Drosophila melanogaster: one gene and its partners. The protein of the gene in region 3 interacts with the protein of the main gene of each other region in a pairwise test. Each region holds a gene or a part of one and is shown on either strand. Other genes may lie near its edges.

Region 1 (5,856 bases), on a different chromosome or scaffold from region 3:
TGGCCATAAAAAATAACAAATAATAAGAGAAAATGCTATGGAACGTGTGCGTAAACTCTCCAACTCTGCAGCAGTATACATGCATATATACACGTATATACATTATTTTGGCAACACTTTTTTCGCTTTGTTGCACGCAAAACCGCAAATTATGTCTAAGCCGTATCGTAAAGTATCGCAGCACGCTCTTAACTAATAAATCCATCATTTCGCCGAAGGCCGAGAGTGTTTCCTCTACCTGTTTTAGCCTCGAAGGTATTTCGCTGCCGGGTTTCGGCTTAGGGATTCCCACAGAAAAATGTCTAAACACTCTAAATCGGGATTAAAAGTGTCGCTTCTGGGTTTTCGGCTTATCGTCCATATTTATACAGATTTTAATTTACTTGCCAGGGGCTTTGAAGGGTTCTTAAAACTCAGCTTGGTGATTAGGTAACATATCCCAAGGGCCAGATATTCCAAAATCCCCTCGGGGCTTGAGTTAAACATCTTGATACATAGTTTATGGTTAGTCCAACCGATTTGGTTGGGATTACGTTGGAGTTTTAATATCGGTTAGGTAAAGTGGCTAGAATGATCTAGATCAACAAAATCTAAATGATTAGTCACATAATATTTTCTAACTACTTAAATAATAGTAATCAATTATGTTTAGAAGGAGCTAGCCTATTATTAGCTCTTAATAATTTAATATAAATCAGCCTCGTTTTGCAATTAAACATTATTAGTATTCAGTAATTATCTTGAAACCAAGCAACGTGATTAACGCGATTTCGTGCGAAACGTAAATAAGTAAGTTAGGCAAGTGCTAACTGGAAAATTCAATCCAATTGTAGAGCGATTAAAAATGCAGCGGAGTTAACCAAACCATTAAACTATTACCAACTCTCTGAGTGCAACATGCCACAACACACATTCGCTTGTTTGATATGTGCAGATTAATTACACACACACCAAGGAAGGAGGAAAAATTGCTTGGAAAAACTTTTCGACGCGACAACAAAACAACGATTTCCACTTAAACAGCAAAACAGGAGCCACGAAAAAAAAGAGGGAAAACCAACCGCAGAAGTTAATCGAAAAACGCTAAACAAAGGCCACAACAACAGCTGTGCGAGTGAGCGGGTCAGAGGGAGAGAGGTGAAGTGCCAGAGCGGGAGAGCGACAAACAAATTAATTTTTATATGACATTAAAACGAGCGAAGCGAGGCGATGGAAATGGTTGAAGAGTGTGTTTAAGTGTTGAGTGGTTTGCTTTTCCGAGCAACAAATCTCGGTGCGAAGACAATGAGGCCTCTGCCGCGCCGCTGCCGCCACCACTGCAGCGCTGCTGCTGCTGACAGCCCCATCAAGAAAAAGTTCCCCCAGAGAGACACAGAGAGGGAGAGTGAGCGTGACATATGTGCCAAGATAAAATTAATGTGCCCCCCAAAGCAGCCACAACAACAACAACTCACTGAGCGGCGCTCTCAGCGCTCAACTGTTGCTCTCTGGACGAGTGTTGCCGTGGTGCAGCCATATTATTATGATTTTACAGGAAGCCAAATCGGAGAGCGAGAGAGAGAAAACCTGTCTTGGCTTCCATTGCAAGGCGCATGCGATTGTGATTGGACAAAAAGTACGCCATATTTGAAAATTACGCACAGTGCATCTCGCTCGCATGCAGCAGGCGGTGCTCCTCTAACGCAGGCAGCAAGCCAAAGTGTGCAGCGCTGCTCGCCGGAGAGCGCTCTCTCGCGAGTGAGCGAACGCTTCGCTGCGAGGGCAGTTACGCTCGCTGCCGCAGTCGTTGAATTCAATTCGAATTTTGACTTCGCAGCGTTCAGACGTGTTCGGAAAAACCTGAAAACCATTCGAGTGACAAGAGATATAACCAACAAAAATAAGAAACCTCAGTCAACTGTGGTCACTGATCGAGAGTGTTTCGTTTCGAGTGAAAAAGTGAAATCAGAGCCAAAACACAAATCGCTTGGCCAGCAAATTGAAATAGTGCTACAGAGATAAATTCTCTGCTCAAAACTACAAGTGTGTTAAATCGCCGATTTTCTTTGGATTTACCAACGTTTGCCGACGCATTTCTGTGGATTAACCTCATCGTCGCCGAAGCAAAGCTACGCATTTGTAGCCTTGTCTCGCAACTCACGTGGATTACCCTCGAGAAAACACACTAAGCAACTGATATGGTTGTCTTGGAAGGAGGCGGCGGCGTTGTTACCATCGGTAACAACCAGTACCTTCAACCGGATTATCTGGCCCCATTGCCAACGACGGTTAGTATTGACTAAGTTAAAAGCTGTAAAATTTTGGGATGGCCGTAAAATCTATGGTTTTAAATTTTGCGTACTTAAGAATTAAATTTGGAAAGTTCATAACATCAAACAATTTTTCAAATCTAAAAATTTATATCGTCATTAATACTTTCACGAACAAACTTTCTTTGGAAGAAATTGCATTTTCTCATAGTTTTAACTTCTCACCAAATTAAAATCAATATTATCTTAAAACTCGTAAAAAACTTTAAAATTACAAAAAACCTAATTCCAACTCCACATTTTCATTTTATTCATAACAGATGGACGCCAAAAAGAGTCCCTTGGCTCTGCTCGCACAGACTTGCTCCCAAATTGGAGCGGATTCGTCGGCAGTGAAACCCCTGCTGGCAATGGACAAGAACAAGACAAAGCCCGGAGCATGCTCCTCGTCGTCGAACTCGTCGAGTTCCTCGGGCAGTGCTGAGATCTCGGCAGCCAAGTCACCCTCCGGCCAGGCCAAATCGCCCAAGTCGAGCACTCCAATCAGCTCGACGGCAACCAGCGCAAGTCTGAGTAATACCAGCACCGGTGAAATCAAACTGGCCTTCAAGCCCTACGAGACCAATGTGCTGAGCCACCAGAACCAGAACTCCTTCAAGAGCAGCTCTTCGCTGGATGCGGAACCCACGCGTCCCAGCTCTAAGAACTCCTCATCCGCCCAGGAGCGTGTGCCATCGCGCAGCAAATCAAATGCCACGCCCACAGATGGCGGCAAGGCGGAGATTTCCGCGCACGATTCCTCATCCAGCCGAAAGACTGTCTCCCCGTCGGGATCGTCGCAACGCGGCGCCAGTCCCATTGTGCGCTCCGGCATGGAGGTGCTGAACAATGCCAACGGAACCGCCCAGCATCCCAAGGAAATGAGCAGCATGGCTGCGGCGGCAGCAGCAGCAGCAGCGGCTTACAAGGCCGCCGGACCCTATGGGCTGAATCCCCTGTCCGCCCTGTGCTGCCCGCCCGGAATGGAGCAGCACGCCAATCCCGCTTTCCGGCCACCGTTTGCCGGAGGATTCTCACACCATCACGCCGCCATGTTGGCAGTTGCCGCCAATGGAGGATATCCAGGCGGAGCTCCCGGCGGTGGACCAGCCGGACAGCCCAATCCGTACATAAGTTATCAGCGCATCAAGACACCAGCTGGCGGCGAGGCTATAGTGCCAGTCTGCAAGGATCCGTATTGCCAGGGATGTCCCTACTCGGCGCACACGCAACAAATGCTCATGGGTGCCCCCTGCCCCGCCGGATGCACCCAGTGCGAGCATCAGAAATACGGCCTGGCCATGGCCAGTGCCGCCGGACTGCCACCAGCTCATCCATACTCGCAGGCAGCGGCCGCTGCTGCGGCAAACGCGGCGGCAGCCCGTTCGGCACCCTACGTGTGCAGTTGGGTGGTGGGCGATGCCTACTGCGGCAAGCGATTCCAGACCTCCGACGAGCTCTTCTCCCACCTGCGCACCCATACGGGCAATCTCTCCGATCCGGCGGCTGCTGCGGCGGCCTTGGCCCAATCGCAGGCTCAATCCCTGCTGGGAACCCTATTTCCGCCATCGGCTCTCCGAGCTGGCTATCCAACACCACCACTGAGTCCCATGTCAGCGGCTGCGGCAGCGGCGAGGTATCATCCATACGCCAAGCCACCACCAGGCGCCTTGGCTGGAGGACCTTCGCCCTTCGGCGCCGCTGGAGCATTCAATCCTGCCGCGGCGGCTGCGGCAGCTGCTCTGGGACCCTACTACTCGCCATACGCCATGTACGGCCAGAGGATGGGAGCGGCTCATCAGTAAAGTGACTTCCACAAGAGTTAAATACCAAAAAAAAGGGGATTACGTTGAAGAGACAACCAGAGATATAGAATGAAACCATTTCCAAACCCTGTTTGAGATACTTTCATGGAAAACAAAAAAGATAAAAGCACAAAACGATTGCAAAGGCTGACACATCTCTGGCTTTTGCGCTATTCTGTGATACTAAACTGTAGTTTAAAGAGCGCTAGTTACACTTAAGTTTCGCAAACAGAAAATAATCAACCACCTAAAGAACAGTAGTAGCCGCAAAAATAGCAGGATCACTCTCTTCTATCATCGTAAATGTCTACATTGTTAGGTAAAAAGAAGTGCAGCCAACACGAAGTTCACTCACTCTTATTTGTTCTCAAAGTTCAACCAAAGTTTTTTAAGTCTTAGCCAGAACACATTCTACAACTTCCAATTTTGTTAATGAAGAACCCATTGCTGAGATGTTCAAACATTGTTTTAGTTTAACTTCGCTTTAAGTTCTATTAACTATTATTACGATTATCTGCAAGCATACAACAAACCAACAATTGAAATAATGTTCTTTAAGTCAACTTATATTTAAAGTAAGTGTAATGAATATTTGTAATACCAACCAATCAGAGATAAAAAATTAAAAAAAAATAATAATAATTACGAAAAATAAAAATGAATATTTCATATAATTATGTACTGTGTGTAAATTCTATAAATATAAACTAGATTTGCTATTTACTCCTTGATGTACGCAAACCACAATACGATCTACACAAGAAGCCACGGAATATCAAACAAAAATAACTTAAACTACATGCAACACATTCGTATAAAACTGAGAAATATACAAGAAAAAACAATTTTTAGAAGCATAAACCACGAATCTTTTCTTTTGAAACAAACTCTTTTACAGCTGGAAAACTTTTTGTTGGGCCATAATTTCGCTTCGGTTATCTGCGCTGTTTGGCTAGCTCACATATGGGTCATAAATATTGCTGATAATGCTCCACTAGGTTTTCAATTATATTTACATAAGGCTGAGTGGCAAATTCCGGAAACCATAACAAGGTCTAATTCTCTTAATTTTATAGTTCTTACTTAGAAATGGGACTAAAGGAGTTTTTAATTCTGAGAATTGAACTGCTTCTTATAAGTATCATTGATATTAAATGTAAGGTTCTAGGCAAATAAATAAATAAAATCTTATAGGTTATTCTTTAAAAATATTTTAATTAGTTTTATTTTAGACAAAAGGTATTTTAATGTGCTCTCAATTTTTTCTGGATGCACTCGAAGAAATCTGGGTTTCCCCATCTCACCTAACACATTTGAAATTCAAATTAGTACTATTAATTTGCATTGCTTGTTGCATTTTAAGCGCACTCAATTTGTATGCAGCGATTCGTATTCAGCCTAAAAAATCAAATCAAAAGCAAATTTCAATTTCACGAGGGGTGGGGTAAATAACTTGATTGGGCAAGCCTTAATAAAACAGTCGCCGGCAACAGTCATAAAACACCCAAGCTGAAAATTAAAAATCAATAAAAATCACATTTGTACCAACAATGTGTATAACAAAAATCAATTGCCATTCAATGAGCAACTCAAATGCATATATAAATGAATATGTGTGCATATGTACGTATGTATGTACATATAAAAAAATCGCTGACAAAGCGAAATGACTAACATTATTCACAAAAAATATGCTTCAGAAATATCAAAATCTGAAACCAACCAGACAACTCAAACTTAAGCAACAATCAGCCACAGCAACA
Region 2 (4,312 bases), on a different chromosome or scaffold from region 3:
CTTGCAACAAGTTCAATCAATCAATTGGTAGGTTTAAGATGATTGTAAAAAATAAGTGGATGCCTTATTTAAGACCCATTAACATAATCTGTCAAGCTTTTCTTTTCATAGTACGAGTATTATAAAGGCATTCGTTTGTTTGAAATCGTATTGGATCTTTATTTCGAGTAACTAGAAGCCCACGAGGTGTGGTTCACGGCACTCCTCGCGCTTGGCATCGAACACCAGGCCGGGTGTGCAGTCCAAGGTGACTCCACGTCCATTCAGGCAGTAGTAGTACGCATCCTGACGCTTCTGGTGGGCAATAAAGTGGGCGCCCTCCGATGGACACTCAATGTCGGCGAGACGTGGCGGAGCTCGGGCAAAGGGCAGGATATTCCGTTGAAGGCTCTCCACCTGAATGAAATGAATAGGTTTTTATGTGGCTCCCAGAAAACTTCAGATAAAAAAAAACACGCACCGTGCAGTTGACTTTCGAGGGGAAATCGCAGCTCTGAGTGCTTGGATTGTACTGCAGGCCACTTGTGCAGTTCTGGACTTGAGGAAGACCATCCATGCAAATGTAGTACTTGTCACAGCGAGCCTTGCTGGGTATGAAAACGATGTCATCCGGATTATTATTCCGGCTGCACAGATTGTCCACGCAGTCGACATACTGCGGATAGTCACAGCGATCGGTCAGGGCGTTGTACTGCAGTCCATCGGAGCACTGACGGATCACCGGAGTGCCGTCGAAGCAGAGAACGTACTTGGTGCACGTGCGATCGTAACAGAACGATGACAAACCACGGTTCTTACAGGATCCAATACACTCGACCTCCATCAGGGGAACACACTCCTGATCCCTCGCATCGAAGTAGTAGTCCGTGGGGCATTCACGGGGTACAGCTATCTCATCTGGGATAGAAACATGATAATGCGGTGAACTAGATATCCACAGGTGCTGGTGACTTACTCATGCACAGGAAGTACTTGCTACAGTTGCCCACCTGGGGAACAAAGAGATTGTTGACCACATTGGAGCAGACATTGACATCGCCATCAGCAGCGCTACAGCTTCCAAGCAGGGCAACCAGTGCCAAAAGGGTCAGGCGACTTATCACTTTGGAAAATAAACCAAGTTAGATCATTTCGGTTCCATAGCTGCAATTCATACTCACTATTCAAGGTTGGTTTCCTGCGGTTACTATCGTCTTACCTCGAAAAACCCCTCCATTTATAGGCAAACTCACTTGCCATTCAATCTGCGATTTGTTTTGATTCCGTGCAAATTTCCAATCTTATCGGATGTGGATGCATGTTTCCATGTGGTAATTGGATTGTTCTTCCTCATTCAAATTCGTCTGGCGGAGATAAGTTCGGTGAACAAGAGCCAATATTCAGGAACATACACCTCTGTCAGCCATTAGGAAACACGTGTATTGATGAGTCACAGTTGATCATCGAACCACGGATCGCTCAAGATCCGATGTAATTGTTACAAGTGTTTGGAATATTTGGATAGGAAGCCCCATTACTTTGAAGATCTAGAAATTATTAAGTTGTAGTTTAGGTTTAAGATTTTCTTCAAGATATATGTATGTATATTTGTTGTACAGGAAGGAAATGCTCCTAGTTAATCCAAATAGAATGTATTATTCTATAAAATTATTTTTTATTTTATTTATTTTTCTTTTCATATCTTAATCGCTAGCGCAGTAATACTTTGAATGTTTAAACCACTCGTGCACTAAAGTGATAAAAAAAAAAACCACACGTGCAAGGAAATTAAAACACTTTTCATCGATATCCACGGGTTCTGGGAACCAGTCTATTTAAAACATTTCGACTATGACTATTATCGCCAAGTTTGGTGGTGACAAATTGAAAGTCGAAATGTTTGCAGAAATAATGGCGTAGTTTTCCTCTAGAGGAGTCGTGTGCCGAAATAACCTGGTTGATAAGTGTAAATTGGCAAAAACTCATTAGGCGATGAAAGAGAGTCGATATAAAATGAATATTTCCTGGCCTGATAGCAAACAGTTGTGGCACACAGTTCAAACTATCCAGGAGTAAGTTGCTCATGCGATGGGATTCCCTATAGTTCATTTACCTAATAAATCGTAATTTCCCAAGTGAAGTGGCTATTAAATGGGCTCCTACTACTATTCATCATTTTGATGGTTCATCGGAACCGGGCCGATGAAGATCTTGTAGTAGCTCCCGGTCCAGACGACGATGGTGAGGGCCTAAATGTTCAGGATAAGGATATTTACGATATGTACGAAAACACCCAGATAAATGTCTGCGGCAATGTGGCGGATGGCGTTTATTTGCCCTATGTTGGAAATTGCTCCAAATATATCGAGTGTGAAAGTGAGTTATATACACTAAAACATCACATAAGTTTTTAAAGCAAATGAAAAATATTTTTAATACATTAAACTATCCATGTATTTAAGACAATACTATTAAGGAAGTAGGCAGCTGCTTGGATTTGGCAAAGGATAATCCAGATATTTGCGATCCGAACAAGTCGTGTGAGCTGGGCTACGATCCTGTTCTCCAAGTGTGCACCTACATGGAGGAGGTACAGTGTCTGCCCACCTGTGAGTCGTTCCGATTGAGCAGCTTCTGCTACGACAACACCTGTACCAAGTACGTGCTTTGCTATTACGGCAAACCCGTGCTACGCCAATGCCACGATGGACTCCAGTACAACAACGCCACGGATCGCTGTGACTTCCCCGAGTATGTGGACTGTGTGGCCAACGACTGTTCCGCCACCTTCCAGCCAGAGGACATCATCTACCTGGGTAGTAAGGCATCATGCAGCAAGTATTACGTCTGTTCCAATGGTCATCCGTGGGAACAGCAGTGTGCTCCTGGCTTGGCCTACAATCCCAGCTGCAAGTGCTGCGACTTTGCCAAGAATGTTAACTGCACGGTGAGTAGAAAAAGTGAAAGTGGATTTTTTTCATTTCAAATATATATTTTTAAATTGATTGTTTTGGATTGGTTTAAAGTACATTTTATACTGCTTCTGGAGTAATTTAATAATTTATTTATTTATACCTAAATATCTCTAGATTGATGCTGTAGCCAGGAATATTCTGCCATATTCCCGAACCCCTCTGCGTCGTGCTGACATTAAGTGTCCCCTTATGGGAACTCACTTCTTCCCACACAAATCTCGCCGAGATGCATATTATTACTGCGTCGAAGGACGTGGAGTCACACTAGACTGCACTCCGGGTCTTTACTACGATCCCAAAGTGGAGGATTGCCGCAGACCTGAATTCGTTGGTGTCTAACTGAGTTTTCATAAATAAATAATTACAACCTGTTGCTTTTGATTTTCGATTTTATGAAATGATAAGAGATTTTGTGAATGTAAGAAGTGATACAAATTGTTTATTCTGAAATGTTTTTTAAAAGAGCACATAACATTTTTAGTGTCGTTATTTTAAAGATTTATTAAAGGGACCAATCATTTGGTGTAAGACTCTCTTATCATCCCAAGAAAGTTCCACTAGTAAGAAATGGAAAAAAATAAATTCAATTAATTTACCAATAAAATGTTTGCTACAAAACGTTACAATTTGAATTGGATGGCCCGTTCACAATGGTGTTTTGTAAACGGCGCATGTGCTGTGCAGCCACAGTGTTTATTTTCCAAAAAAGAGAGAAAGAGTGCTCCACAGAGCACCCCATTCATGCTCTTCTGGTTGCAAACGCCAACCACCCGCTCGCCCACCGAGTGGCACGGCCACATATACAGAAAGCAAAAACAAAACGCTGTCTGTTGGCAAAAAGGAAAAAGAGGAAAACCATCCGTGGGGGCGGTGGGAAGTGAAAGAGCGCTCTGCGAAACTCATGAAAGTGAAAACGAGCGCGACGCTGGCCCAGCTGCATTCACACATTCAGTTGGCTGCGAGTCCTTGCGCCGTTCGAATCGCAGGCGAATCACCCATCGTCCAACACACAACCTCACAACCACCCACCACCCACCGCCCACCTGCGTCTCGGGCCGCAAGGTTGGCAAAATACAATTATTCGAGCGCGAGTCAGCGGTGGCTGATTTTTTGAATTGAATCGAATTGAATTAAAGTGAATACAAAGTTCGCATGAGTCGCATGAGTCCTTCGTGTGACGAGCTCTTCGCAAAAAGGATATTTATTTGCCAAGCCAGCCTGCGTGTGTGTGTGTGTGTCATTTGTGTGTTTGTCGTGTCGGGTCAGTTGAGCGTTCAAGGACTCTGCTGCAGCAACTACAAAATAGCTTGAAAAACCAGTGCCAGAAACAACAATATGTGTGCAATAAATGCGAGAAA
Region 3 (7,211 bases):
GCCGATCTGCCGAAGCAAGTGCCCGAGGATCATGCACGATACCACCTCTTCCTGTTTCGGCACACGCACGAGGGCGACTACTTTGAGTCGTACGTGTTCGTCTACTCCATGCCTGGATATTCCTGCTCCGTGCGCGAGCGCATGATGTACTCAAGCTGTAAGGCTCCTTTTCTCGACGAGCTCGCGGCCCTTGGCGTGGAGGTTGTTAAGAAGGTGAGTTGATATGAATGCGAGTGGGTGTGGCTGCGCTAATAGCACTAAAGATTAGGGCTATAAAAAGCAAAAGCAGGGTATATATTGTTTGTGATTTATTTATTGCTTTCAAATCGCCACATTCACTATACTTTTGATTCACGATCTCTAGAAATATTTTGAATCATAATTAGGGCGAATGTCTCACTTTTCACTTGAAATAGAAATCTGTAAATCATAAATAATGAGTAATTTTAAATCATACTAAATCTGATTCATGTTTCTAACAACGTTTTACATTTCAGCTTGAAATCGACAGCGGCAGCGAGCTGACCGAAGCCTTCTTGCAGGACGAGCTGCACCCAAAGAAGATTCTACACCGACCGGCTTTTGCCAAGCCCAAGGGGCCACCAAACCGAGGCGCCAAGCGCCTCACGCGTCCCACCGCAGAGGACTAAGTCTGAATCCCGATCCCACCGAGTCAATTCTGTTTATCGCCCTTCTACGTACTGTTTCCTAGCAGAGCATTTAATTTATTGTATCCAATCGTTTATTTCTTTTGTGTTGTGTCTATCCCGTGTCTATATGTGTCCGTACGTCAGTCGATATCTTTAGAGGCACTAGGCATCAACTGAAACATCGCATAGCAGCCGCCAAAGTGGGCTTCCTTAAATGTATTCTTGTCTATGTAACTTTAGATGGACATATATGCAATTTATTTAAATTAAAAAAAGTAACTAAGTTCACACTGGCGTCTTCTTTAAGTCCTCAGGACTCACTTGATCGTGTCCAGCGATACATGTTCGGATGTTTTCTCGTCGTGGGCCTTGAAAAGCTCTGGGTTTTCGTCCTCTGTCAGTTTTTTGAACGCCTGTTGAATGTTTTCGTCGCGATCGAGTCGCCATTTGTACTGCCAGTAGCGAACCTCTTCCATCGAGGTCCCTGATGCTTTCATCAGCAGCAGCGACGTCACACCAGCCACGCCGCCCAAGAAACCTCCAATGATTCCACCTGCCGCCATGCCCCGCAGACCAAGACTCACTTTGTAAAGCGAGCCGGTGATGGAACCAGCGGCCAAGTATTCGTAGATTGAGGATTTTCCACGGTACACCGACATACAAGTGATGATGCCGCTGTAAGGAACACATTTTTGTATCACACAGATACAGATTTGAATTCGTGTTGCTGAACTTACAAGTAGGATGTGGTAAAAAGTCCCACTCGCCAGCCCCATTTGAAGCCGCCTTTGGCAAAGTTGACTGTGAATTGATCTTGCAGCTTTTTCTGTAATTATGATTAAAAACTTGATTATAACATATTTAAATGATAATACGTAGATACCTACCTTGGCATCAAAGTGCGATTTAAATGCTGTGGCCTGGTTGTTCTCCATGAAATTCATGTAGGCCACGCGCGATTGTGTAACTCCGCCGTAAATAGCTCCAATAAGGAATCCTAGGAAGCCGGCCTGGTAAACCGAGTTAAGCTCGGAGGATATGCTGCCAAACTCGCTATTTAAATGTTTATGTACGGTCAGTAGATTTTAGTATAAATGGAATTCTTAGTTTTCCTACTCGATTGTAAACATTTGCTTGAGGCGCTCCAGTCCTGTTTCCTCTGGTGGTTTACTGGCCAGAAAGGCCTTGTATGTTTTGTTTTCCTTATCGACTATTTCATCTGCGGCGCCTTCGAATGTTGGCAGGATGCCTGCGATCAGAAACCGGCGTCCTTTCCACAGAAAATTCATTTTTTAAGCGTGTTAAATAACCAAGTAAAACGAGTACAACAATCTCAGCTGTTTGCCGGTCTGTTAGTGTTGGAAAGTGTGCGTGTCATTGGTGTTGGCAAACTCTCGGTTTAATTGTTTTTAATTTAAATGCGTTTGTTATTAATAAAATTATATTATTATAATAATTTAAGTTACATACTCATTTAGTTGTTCATATATTTTTTTCTTATATCATTCACACTTTTAAATTTATTTTGTTGCCAAAAACAATTTTATTGTGTTTACAAGTATTTGCTATAACTTTATGAACTGCACCTTGTGCTTTGCTTTTGCCGTTTACCAACACAGCACAACGCCGCTAATCGCGTTGTCGGCAAACATTTGTTGTGAAATTTTCTACGTTTTTACAATTTAATTCATTGCAAATCCAATTTATTGTTATTTACTTGAACGCATAAAGTGCTTCTGCACTTTAGAAAACTGAAATCATGATGTACGACAACGAGGAAGGTGAGTAAAATGAATTGCGAAAATTTGTGCATGCACGTTGGCGTGTACCAAAATTAATATGGCGGCTGGAGCGCTAGGGCTCCGCATTGTTAGCAATGAATTTCAATGGTCAAATAACATCTTGCAGAACTGTACGAGGAGGAGAATGCCGAGGAGATCTCTCACGAGCTGTGGCAGGAAGCCTGCTGGATCGTGATTAACGCGTACTTCGACGAGAAGGGCTTGGTGCGGCAGCAGCTGGACAGTTTCGATGAGTTCATTCAGATGTCGGTGCAGCGCATTGTGGAGGATTCCCCCGCCATTGAGTTGCAGGCGGAAGCGCAGCACACATCCGGAGAGGTGGAAACCCCGCCCAGATTCTCGCTGAAATTCGAGCAAATCTATCTTTCCAAGCCAACACATTGGGAAAAGGATGGTTCGCCCAGTCCTATGATGCCGAACGAGGCCCGCCTGCGAAATCTAACTTACTCCGCTCCTCTCTACGTGGACATTACGAAAACCAAGAATGTCGAGGGCCTGGATCCCGTGGAAACGCAGCATCAAAAGACTTTCATAGGCAAGATTCCCATCATGTTGAGATCAACGTACTGTTTGCTATCACAGCTTACTGATCGTGATCTTACGGAGCTGAACGAGTGCCCGTTGGATCCCGGTGGCTACTTCATCATCAACGGCTCCGAGAAGGTGCTAATTGCCCAAGAGAAAATGGCCACCAACACAGTGTACGTGTTCAGCATGAAAGATGGCAAGTATGCCTTTAAGACTGAGATTCGGTCGTGTTTGGAGCACAGTTCCAGACCCACGTCTACACTGTGGGTAAACATGATGGCAAGAGGATCGCAAAACATAAAAAAGTCAGCCATTGGTCAGAGGATTATTGCCATCTTACCGTACATCAAACAGGAGATACCCATTATGATTGTGTTTCGAGCATTGGGCTTCGTGGCCGATCGCGATATTCTGGAGCATATCATCTATGACTTCGACGATCCCGAGATGATGGAAATGGTGAAACCTTCTCTGGACGAGGCTTTTGTAGTCCAAGAGCAGAATGTTGCCTTGAATTTCATTGGAGCTAGAGGAGCACGTCCCGGAGTCACAAAAGACAAGCGTATAAAGTACGCTAAGGAAATTTTGCAAAAGGAAATGCTGCCCCACGTTGGAGTATCCGATTTCTGCGAGACCAAGAAGGCATACTTTTTGGGCTACATGGTTCACCGGCTGCTCTTAGCCTCTTTGGGCAGGAGAGAACTCGATGATCGAGATCACTATGGAAACAAGCGACTTGATCTCGCTGGACCCCTCCTGGCCTTCCTCTTCCGTGGTCTGTTCAAAAACCTGATGAAAGAGGTGCGCATGTACACACAGAAGTTCATCGATCGCGGAAAGGACTTCAACCTTGAACTGGCCATCAAGACTAATATTATTACTGATGGTTTAAGGTATTCCTTGGCCACTGGCAATTGGGGCGACCAGAAGAAGGCGCATCAGGCGAGAGCCGGTGTCTCCCAGGTGTTGAATCGCTTGACCTTCGCCTCTACTCTTTCCCATTTGCGGCGTGTGAATTCGCCAATTGGCAGAGACGGTAAACTGGCCAAACCTCGTCAGTTGCACAATACTCTTTGGGGTATGTTGTGTCCCGCTGAAACTCCTGAGGGAGCAGCTGTTGGTCTGGTGAAGAACCTGGCGCTCATGGCTTACATTTCTGTGGGATCACAACCTTCTCCCATTCTGGAGTTCTTGGAGGAGTGGTCTATGGAAAACCTGGAGGAAATTGCTCCTTCTGCCATCGCTGATGCTACAAAGATCTTTGTGAACGGCTGCTGGGTGGGCATACATCGTGATCCTGAGCAGCTCATGGCAACGCTTCGTAAGTTGCGTCGCCAGATGGATATCATCGTGTCAGAGGTGTCTATGATTCGAGACATTCGAGATCGTGAGATCCGAATCTATACAGATGCTGGTCGCATTTGTCGGCCACTTCTCATCGTGGAAAACGGATCGCTGCTGCTTAAAAAGACTCACGTGGAGATGTTAAAGGAGCGAGACTACAACAACTACAGTTGGCAGGTCCTTGTAGCCTCTGGAGTGGTGGAGTACATTGATACCCTTGAGGAGGAAACGGTCATGATCGCTATGTCTCCCTACGATCTGAAGCAGGACAAGGATTATGCTTATTGTACCACATACACACATTGTGAGATCCATCCAGCCATGATCCTGGGCGTGTGCGCGTCCATTATTCCCTTCCCCGATCACAATCAGAGTCCGCGTAACACCTATCAAAGCGCTATGGGTAAGTTTATGAGTATTCATTACTGTTCTACTTGAAATACTAATCCATTTATAACGTTTTTTTCATCTTTTATAGGTAAGCAAGCTATGGGCGTTTATATTACCAACTTCCACGTGCGTATGGACACACTAGCCCACGTACTTTACTATCCGATGAAGCCACTTGTGACCACACGTTCCATGGAGTACCTGCGTTTCCGAGAACTACCAGCTGGCATCAATTCAATCGTGGCTATTCTCTGCTACACTGGCTACAACCAGGAGGATTCTGTCATTCTGAATGCATCCGCTGTGGAGCGTGGATTCTTCCGCTCTGTGTTCTACCGATCATACAAGGATTCGGAGAACAAACGTGTCGGTGATCAGGAAGAGAACTTCGAGAAGCCTCATCGCGGCACCTGCCAAGGAATGAGAAATGCTCACTACGACAAGTTAGACGATGATGGAATTATTGCCCCAGGAATTCGTGTATCTGGCGACGATGTGGTTATTGGCAAGACCATTACCCTTCCTGAAAACGACGACGAACTGGACAGCAACACGAAGCGTTTCTCCAAACGAGATGCCTCCACTTTCCTGCGAAACTCTGAGACGGGTATTGTGGACCAGGTGATGCTTACGCTCAACAGCGAGGGCTACAAGTTCTGCAAGATTCGAGTGCGCTCGGTGCGTATTCCGCAGATCGGCGATAAGTTCGCTTCTCGTCACGGACAAAAGGGAACGTGCGGCATCCAGTACCGTCAGGAGGACATGGCCTTCACATGCGAGGGATTGGCACCCGATATCATTATTAACCCCCACGCTATCCCATCTCGTATGACAATTGGTCACTTGATCGAGTGTCTGCAGGGAAAACTGGGATCCAACAAGGGAGAGATCGGTGATGCTACACCCTTCAACGATGCCGTCAACGTGCAAAAGATCTCCACCTTCCTTCAGGAGTACGGCTATCATCTTCGAGGCAATGAGGTCATGTACAATGGCCACACTGGACGAAAGATTAATGCTCAGGTAAATTGCTTAACTTTCAACTTGCAATAATCTTAAACTAATCAGTCCCTTAACTACAGGTCTTCCTGGGGCCCACCTACTATCAGCGTCTTAAGCACATGGTGGACGACAAGATTCACTCTCGTGCTCGAGGCCCCGTCCAGATCCTGGTGCGTCAGCCTATGGAAGGTCGTGCTCGTGATGGTGGCTTGCGTTTCGGTGAGATGGAGCGTGATTGCCAGATCTCCCACGGCGCCGCTCAGTTCCTGCGAGAACGTTTATTCGAGGTCTCCGATCCGTACCGCGTACACATCTGCAACTTCTGTGGCCTGATTGCCATCGCCAATCTGCGCAACAATACGTTCGAGTGCAAGGGCTGCAAGAACAAGACGCAGATTTCCCAGGTGCGACTCCCATATGCGGCCAAGCTTCTCTTCCAGGAGCTGATGTCAATGAACATTGCGCCGCGCCTGATGGTCACCTAATCAGATCGGTATCCGCAACCGGACCACATAATAGCCCTAAGCTAAATGCTAGCAGTTAATTATTAAATTACCATAATTGTGACAACTCAATTATGTGCTTTGTGTGGCATTTTCTATTATTCCCGGAACTGGAGCGAATACCTGCCGAGCATTTTTAAAGACGCGAACGTGCCACAAGCGTATTTTGGGCGAAAGTCTGCACGGGTTCAAGAGCTGTTAGTGGAATGTGATTTATTTGCTTATTTGTAATAAGTTATTTTGCTCACAAACTTTTCTTGAGAGGGCAAATAGGGCATTGAAAGGTTTTGGTATTATTTGTGATTAAATTTTTGTTGGCAATTTAGTTGTCAATCCCTGTACGTTTTAGGACATCAAATAATCTGCGTTCTGACTCTTTATTTGCTCCAATTTTTCTTTGGTAATCCCCTAACAAAGTCCATTATCCAGCAAAATACCTTCGCCCTAAGCGTATCCTAAATTCGGTTTTTTACATAGAAAGCCTTTCCATTCGCATTTATTTTTTTGCCAAGCTTTTGTTGCCTTCTTTGATTTTGACGTAATGCTTTGGCCCGCGGTCTGTGACGCCCAGTGACAAAAGGGATTAGTTCTTTGTTGTCGGATGTGGATTGTGTGCGGTGGAGAAGGTGGTGGAGCTGTAGCCACAGCCGCCAATCGACTGACAGTTATTAATTGCCACTTGACGTGGCTCCGACGGAACGAGCAGCATCGGCCCAACCGAACTCGTGTCGCTGCCAATGCTGATACCAATGTTGGGGCTGATGGCCAAGACCATGCTGACACCCATCAGTCAGCCCGCCTGAGCCCGGCTTATGAGTAATTGAAATTGCGTGTAAATCCGCGAACGCGAAGTGGCGCCGCGATAAGAGAGTTCAGTTCAGAGCAACAAAAAAAAAAAAAAAGCGGAATGAAACACTCCACTTGGGCACGCCTGAGGTATTTATTTATAGCATCTTAAAAATAACTTATTTTACTCCTTTTTTATCGCCAAC

The links.
Region 1: the proteins of Polr2B (region 3) and noc interact in a two-hybrid assay, tested with the Drosophila melanogaster proteins (one large-scale study listed by BioGRID).
Region 2: the proteins of Polr2B (region 3) and CG10154 interact in a two-hybrid assay, tested with the Drosophila melanogaster proteins (one large-scale study listed by BioGRID).

The regions. Positions count from the first base shown.
Region 1 is NT_033779.5:14,489,069-14,494,924, forward strand, and holds noc (no ocelli), read left to right. Parts: upstream 1-1,790; 5' UTR 1,791-2,177; coding exon 2,178-2,267; intron 2,268-2,569; coding exon 2,570-4,093; 3' UTR 4,094-4,951; downstream 4,952-5,856. UniProt on the Drosophila melanogaster protein: May negatively regulate Notch-induced cell proliferation in the eye-head primordium. Required for development of the supraesophageal ganglion and ocelli.
Region 2 is NT_037436.4:13,434,835-13,439,146, reverse strand, and holds CG10154 (uncharacterized protein), read left to right. Parts: upstream 1-2,010; 5' UTR 2,011-2,050; coding exon 2,051-2,051; intron 2,052-2,115; coding exon 2,116-2,355; intron 2,356-2,441; coding exon 2,442-2,926; intron 2,927-3,068; coding exon 3,069-3,293; 3' UTR 3,294-3,467; downstream 3,468-4,312. Other genes in the region: CG10725 (uncharacterized protein), read right to left, coding at 172-396, 461-897, 956-1,102, 1,161-1,161.
Region 3 is NT_033777.3:14,123,538-14,130,748, forward strand, and holds Polr2B (RNA polymerase II subunit B), read left to right. Parts: upstream 1-2,253; 5' UTR 2,254-2,409; coding exon 2,410-2,431; intron 2,432-2,558; coding exon 2,559-4,727; intron 4,728-4,802; coding exon 4,803-5,737; intron 5,738-5,796; coding exon 5,797-6,201; 3' UTR 6,202-6,574; downstream 6,575-7,211. Other genes in the region: twf (twinfilin), read left to right, coding at 1-213, 498-650; 140up (upstream of RpII140), read right to left, coding at 968-1,325, 1,388-1,476, 1,538-1,703, 1,767-1,939. UniProt on the Drosophila melanogaster protein: DNA-dependent RNA polymerase catalyzes the transcription of DNA into RNA using the four ribonucleoside triphosphates as substrates. Second largest component of RNA polymerase II which synthesizes mRNA precursors and many functional non-coding RNAs.